2 linked regions of the Coturnix japonica genome follow. The protein of the gene in region 2 purifies or fractionates together with the protein of the main gene of each other region. This does not show direct contact. Links are inferred from orthologs where the notes say so. Each region holds a gene or a part of one and is shown on either strand. Other genes may lie near its edges.

The links. Proteins that work in one complex are often made in the same cells at the same time.
Region 1: the proteins of ubiquinol-cytochrome-c reductase complex assembly factor 1 (region 2) and ubiquinol-cytochrome-c reductase complex assembly factor 2 purify together in Homo sapiens (co-immunoprecipitation; 3 studies listed by BioGRID and IntAct, counting the BioPlex papers as one, with this or other methods). This does not show direct contact. The link is inferred for Coturnix japonica from reciprocal best matches to the Homo sapiens genes UQCC1 and UQCC2.

The regions. Positions count from the first base shown.
Region 1 is NC_029541.1:4,422,673-4,426,658, reverse strand, and holds ubiquinol-cytochrome-c reductase complex assembly factor 2, read right to left. Parts: upstream 2,806-3,986; 5' UTR 2,778-2,805; coding exon 2,640-2,777; intron 1,506-2,639; coding exon 1,431-1,505; intron 1,102-1,430; coding exon 1,032-1,101; intron 313-1,031; coding exon 218-312; 3' UTR 130-217; downstream 1-129.
Region 2 is NC_029535.1:1,169,891-1,172,884, reverse strand, and holds part of ubiquinol-cytochrome-c reductase complex assembly factor 1, read right to left. Parts: intron 2,994-2,994; coding exon 2,880-2,993; intron 1-2,879. UniProt on the Homo sapiens protein: Required for the assembly of the ubiquinol-cytochrome c reductase complex (mitochondrial respiratory chain complex III or cytochrome b-c1 complex). Involved in cytochrome b translation and/or stability.

The DNA.
Region 1 (3,986 bases), on a different chromosome or scaffold from region 2:
AGCCCTTTTCTTTATAACATTTACACCGATCCGATATGCCCCCATCACAGATGTGGTAAAGTAGGTCCCACATTCCCAAAAGGAAAAGAGCAGACATTACAAAAAAAAAAAGTCTGAACAAAAAAAACCTGCTGTTGCTAAGAGGAATGAATGGTTTTATTCATCATGGCAACACGGAGCGTTAGGGATATGTACAGGGGGAGCAGGGGTCAGCCTGTCACTTCGAGTCCTCTTCAGATTTCTTGGTGTAAAACCTTTCTCGCCATTTTCTCCACGTCCCTTTTTTCATGTCTTCCATCTGTTTCAGCATGTCTGCAAAAGGAGAACAGAGAGAGATGGGGAAAGAGGATGAAAAAAAGCAGGAAAGCAAAGGGCTGAAAGCTCTCTTATAAGAGCTTTGCCTTACAAATGTTTTCTCTTTTTGACTTTTTGCCTTAATGAATTTCTATTTCAGGGCCTGAGGCAAGTTTGTTTCCCTTCCAATCAATTGTGCAGGGAGCCCCTTATCTCTAACAACTAATATTCAGTTGCCATGCGCTACAGTCAAAGTTAGGAACTGGAGCAGAACAAAAGGCATTGGCTTCCTGCACCACGCTTAATAAATGATTTGGCTGAGAGTCTTTCTGCATTGTGGTGCCCTGTTTTCTCTCAAGGTCTAATACGAGATAAGAAGTACTGAAGGGAATTTGAACACGATGAAATGGAAGTCAAGAATTTTTTGAGCCACATAACAAACGTGGATTGCTTTCATACAGCTCCTGCCATTCTATCTGAAGAAGCCTTTACAAACCCTCTGCTGTTCCTGCCCACTGCAAAAACCACAATTGACTTTTTGTCCCGATAGATTACTGAGACTCTCCTCAATTATGCCTGAACTGATACCTTTCGAGCCATCCTAATACACCTGCATGGCAGTCCCAATCAGTCCTTTAGTCACAAGCGTTTAGTAGAGGTGATGAAGTGAACACCACAAAGAACAGAATGTAATTTATCTCCTGCATTGATTTACTCCCAAATCACAGTATTAGTACCTGTTGCTAGGATCATCTTGCAATCTTGCACTGTCACTCCAGTGAAGCTTGTGTCTTTCAGGCGTGGATACTTCACAAACAAGTAGGTGAGAGAAGGAGAGACAGAACAAGGCATTACAAGTGCACTAGAAGACTTAATATACCACCAAATAAATAACAGAGCCCTACTCATTTTCAGTCAAGAAATAAGAACTGTGCTCATCCATAGCAAAAACTACCCCTGGCATTGTTCAGACACAGCAGCACCGGGGAACCCAAAGGCAGCAGGCAGTGCAGCAGCCACTTGACTTCTCATTTGCCTGCTGTATGCCCAGAACCCCTGCTGTTAAGAGGCAGGGTACTGCAGCAGGTGGTGACTGCCCCACTAAAGGGCTGGCAATGGCTAACAGCAAACCTTACCTTGTTTTTGTAGAAGTTGGTGTGGATTCTGACCAAGCTCTCATACATTTGGTCGCAGGTCTCAGGATCAGCGATCTGGAAAGTGACAGAAATATCACACAAGTCTTATTTTAAAGCCTGCATAGCAACAGATTTCATTTGAGCTGAAAGTCTGTGAGAAGGACAGCAGAAGAGCAGCTGAGTTCTCAGTGCAATGCAGGATGCTGCTGACCCCTATTGTGCTGCTCCTGAATGCAGAGCATTTTCTTTCTCCTCCATTTCTGGCCAGCTTGGCCTACAAGAATAATGAGGCATGTAAGTTCTAGAAGGGACCTTGAGTTCTGCTCACAAAGATATGACAGCTCAACTGTGAGTGCACAGGGAATGTGAACGTAGCTGGATGGTTTTCTCCTCAAGCTTATTGGCCAGCACTGTGAAAGCTGAGCTTTCTCTGCTCAAAGGCAGGTTTTGCTTCATTCTAAAGGATCAAACAGGATCAGGTACTGGGATGGAAGGTAGAGAAAATCCTGGTGCGAGCTAAAAATAGTTTATAATTGATCAGGGAAAAGCGGCATGAAAAGCACTGAGCAGCTTGTGTGGGGTAAATGGATTTCTATTTTGGTCCAGTAAGTTGGAAAGATTTTGCTAATACCTAAAACTCTCGGTTCATCTGACAGGTGCCTCAGCCTTACAGAGTCTGTGAATGGCACGGCGTCTTGTTTTTCTAATTTATAGCAGGGAATAACTTGATGAGGACCCTGAACTGCTGCCCAATGACATCAAAGGCAACGATTAAAACAGACACATGAACAAGAATAGTATCAGCCATAACAAGGCAGGATAAAATGACACAGCTCGTCTGTCCTTGGGGTGCTGGAAGGGGCTGGAAACGGCTCCTGCAGCAGAGGGGATGAGGCCAGAGGTTGTCGAGCACCATCAAACTGCAGGTGATTCTCAGCTCGGGGTATCTGCAGTCATTTCCATGTGACCCCGCTGATGTTGCAGTGATGACAGCAGCAATAGCCATTAAACAGCGCTGCCTCCACGTGGATAAAGCAGACATTCCGCTGACAGAACATCCTTTAAGGCCCCTCCATCCCTCACCCATCCCTTCCTTTGGCTGCATTAAATCCTTACACACACAAATCTCGGTACCATACACAGACACCAACCACCCCCCCATCCCCATGTAGGCCGCAGCCGCCGTCCCGGCCCCGTCCCCGCTCCCACCTGCGTGTTCTCCCCCTCTCGGAAGGCCTGGGCCACTCTCTGCCGAATAAAGGCTCCCAAATCCCGCTGTCTCTTCGTCTCCTCCACCGGCCACTCCTCGCACAGCCGCAGGAAGCGCCGGTACCTGGTGGCCGCCATATTTAACACGTGATTCTTATAGGGTGGGGGCGGAGTTGCTCATGCGCAGTCCCCCCACCCCATAGGATGGATGGGACCTTTAGGGTCACCCCGGGATCACAGCCCACCCGGCCCCATAGAGCGATACGTGTGTGCAGCATCACACAGCATCACCCCTTCACCTGTGGGGCACACCAGGTTGTGCCAGCAGGGCTCCCGGTGCTTCAATATTAGAGCCTGCCCCATCCTGCCCCATTTACAGACCCCATTTCCTGCTCTGAGCTGAGGAGGGTCCGTGTGGTCACTATAAGCCGTGCAATGTGGGCTACAATCAGCACTGAGCACTGTGTGTGACACTGAGCCAAGGCTGGGGGTGATGCAGCCCTTTCACTGCTGAAGTTTGTGGCTTTTTTAATAGGCAGCGATGCTTGCGGGACAGAAATATGCAATAATATGCGACACGATGAGCAATATTCAGTAAATAATGAGATATTCCCAGCTGCGCTTCAGGCCAAGTGAAATACGCAGCCGGGCCAGATGACTTGAATTTTCCAGCTATAAATTGCAGCAGTTCTCCAGCTGTGTGCTGTAAAACACGAGCGAAGGGCTCTCCCTGCAGATCTGGTATTTAAACTTGGGGAAATAATGGGAAACGTGCAGCCCTCAAGGAAAGATGGAGCGTGATTTGGGGATGCTCTGGGACTGGAAAGGAGATGGACCACAGGTGAGAGTTGCTGAGACAACTTTATTTGTATCCCCGCTCCCAGTAACTGGGTTCTGTACCCCTGTCCCTTGTGTAGGGACTTCCCTTCCAAGCTTCCCACACCGTGCAGGAAGGAATTATGTTTGTTCCATAATAAAGTCTGTCAACAAAAGCTGTAAACATTGAATCAGGTGGGTGGCTTTTTTTCTGTGACACTTTCCTCCAAAGACACACATTATATTTGTACCAAAGAACTTTGAGGTGACCTTTAATATCCAGTCCCTGACATGTTTTATTCTCTTTAATCCGAAGCATAAATACCTTGATGTGAATGTCTCTCTGACTGCTGTCAGTCTGTTACGTCCCACAGGGGGGATTAAACCTTTGCAAGGTCCATTGTTTGGTCTGAGATCTACATGCTCATACACCTCCAGCAGTACAGAACCAGGAGCTCTGCAGCATCTGCCATGTCTGTGCTTTAACAAAGCACCTGCGTGGGGAAACGCTTGCAAGAACAGCTCTGTGCA
Region 2 (2,994 bases):
GTACCACCTCTAGCTCAGGACATCTCCAAACACAGATTGCTGAGAGAGTCCACCAGGGAATTAGTACCCATGCCAGCCCTGTCATTGTATTCTTCTCTGTGCATCCACTAATAGCCAGTGTTAAAGACAGGATCAGCAAGAACTTGTGCAAAAGATATCTTACACAAAGGATTTACAGTGTTTACCAGAAACACAATATAATTTGACAAGCAGTTTCTCAACAGAGGGAAGAATACAGCAACAGTCACAGGATCAGACTGAAAAGCCACCTACACACAGCATTGTGTTACTGAGAGTCAACAGGCTTCCCAGCAGCAGATGAATACAATGCATAAATATCACATTACTTCCTTATTTCCCACCCCTCCTAAAATCTGTTAGTTTAGTGATTTTGAGCGTGAAGTGGTTGTTCTGTACTTAATAACCCCAGACAGGTTTCCCTTCCATAAACCTCACCAGTAACATTGGAATCCACACAGCATCCCAAGCAACGTGTGGCAATCCATGCTCAGCCTTTCCTTGCTGCATTGGGTTTGAGTAGCAAGGGTTTGGTAGCGAGGAGGGATGCAAGAATGAAGTCTGTGAGCAGAGCCCCATGTCAGACCTGAGCCAGCTCCAGCTCCCCCCAGAATGGACCTACCATTGGCCAGAGGAATGATGTTAAGTGTGTCTGGGAGAACAGATGGAAGAACAAACTGCTATGCAACAGTGCAACAGCAGTTGGGAGAGACAGGTGAGAAATCAGAAATGAGTGCTGCAGTCACCCAGATGTTGGAGCAGTCTGCTTCTGAAGGATGGGCCTCATGGTATAGAGCCATGTTGGAGCAGTGCTTGGAGAGCTGCAGTTCATGGGAAGTCCACATGGACTGTTCAGAAAGGATGACATCTATGGGAGGGACCCCACATGGAGCAGGAAAAGGCAGCAACCAACAGGCAGCAGCAGGAAGGAAGCACTAGGGACTGATCACAGCTCCTCTTCCCCATTCCCTAGCACCACCCCAGCATGGAACAAAGGTGTCTTCAGTTTGCTTCCCAGCCTGTTAGTAGTTAGCAAAACAAACTACACTCATCTCCCTGCGCTGAGTCTATTTTGACTGTGACGGTAATTGGTGAGTTCTTATCTCAACCTGTGAGCTTTTTTCCCATCATATTTTCTGCCCTTGTTCCCTTGTTCTTTTGAGGAAGGGGAGAGAGAGAACGGTGTGGTGAAGCTTAGTTTCATACCAGTGTTTTATTACCACACTTGCTCACCTTCTATACACCTTCAGGGTTTCACAGAGCTGTCTCATATTCTTTCCCAGCTGTTTTAGAGGCAAGGAACCCAGTCACTGCTAATTTGCTTCCTCCCAATTCCACTGCTCTTTGCTGAGCCTTATTCAGTTCAGTTTTTATCTTTCTCACTGTTTTGGGCCATTACAGATTATTCAAATCCACAATGGTGTCATAGACTTGAAAAGTGGCACCATAACACAACAGGTTTTTTTCTTCCTTAGTAGTTCTGAGCGCTTGTTTTATTTTTATCAAACACTACTGAGCAAAGTTGCCATTTCCATATCAAAATTATAATCAAGAACTCTGCGCTCTTCTGATAGCCTAGAGCTCATCTCTTTAAACATAAAGCTGGATCTGTTTTTCTCCCTTAGTGTACCCACTTTGCTATTGTCTTCACTCAACTGCACCAACCACTTCTTCACAGTTACCAATCCTTACTGCAATGAACCTTCTCACTTTCATTAAAAAGTGAGGGCTGATTGACCTCTGTTGTCTATATTTCAATAGGTTGCTTGCCTATGAGAGTACCTTCACTCTTCCCCTGTCACTGCTCAATTTTTTTCTTTCTTGTAATAGAAATCATTGTTGAGGTGGGTTTTTGGTTTTTTTGGATGTTTCCTAAAGATCCATAAAGAGGATAAGTCAGACACTTGTTATCTATAGTGATGCTTTCAAACCACAGATGGGTGAGAAATGACCTGCCTCCACAGAAGCTGTGCTGACTTTTCTCCAATGTGCTACATTTATCTGTGTAATTACTATTTCCTATTAGGCTGCTGAAAGCTTCTTTCCCGTCCTCTGCTTCAGTATATAAAGTTGCTACACACTTTCCAGATGGCAGTACACAGCCAGCGCACACTGCCTGCTGGCATTCCAAAGGCGTCTCTGACAAATTCCCTTCATTTTCCATTCAATTTTCTGAGTTACACTGAAATACATCTCCAACTCCCTATCTGGTCCTAAATACAGCATTGGAGACACTACTGAGAATGCTGCTGTGGAGTTTCTGGTCTCCAATTTCCTGTCCCACAGCTAAACCCTTCCTTCCTCCAGCCCTCTTCTCACCCATTTTCTGTCTTTGGTACGTACCAGGACCCACATTTACCAGGTCCTACCCAGTACTTCCCAGGAGGTTTCTGAGCCAGATTTCTAAAGGTTGAGAGGACAAACACTATTAAACATTTTCCTCTGCATAGTAACTGAATGAACCTGGAAAAAACCTTTTATGTCTTTCCCCCCCAAAACAGAAGATTTTTAATTACTGTGTGTAAACCATTTCATTACCAAAATGTCTCCACAGCACCAGGTATGACTGTACGAGTTACCACCCACTGCCAAAACACTGAGTCCCTTCATGAAGCGGGTGCAGAAAAAGAATAAGCAGGGATGCTCTCAATCTTCTGTGAGTTTCTCTCCAGACATTATTCAAACTGCAATGAATCTGTTAATGTCTTTACTTTTATCTCCTTAAAAACATTCAGCGGGTTCTTAAAAAAAGTGATATAGATAAAAACAATGGAGCTATGCATTACCCAAGCAATAAAGATAAATACTCAACACCCTAACCAAGAGAATGGAGAGAAGCTGTGCTGTGAGCTGCAGTGTACCTGTTTGCGCACATACTCCACGAGTAACTCCAGATGCCGAGGGTCCTCACAGTTCCTGTTAAAGAGGTTCCTCCACAGAGCTGCTGCCAGAACGTGATCATCGGACAGGATTCCC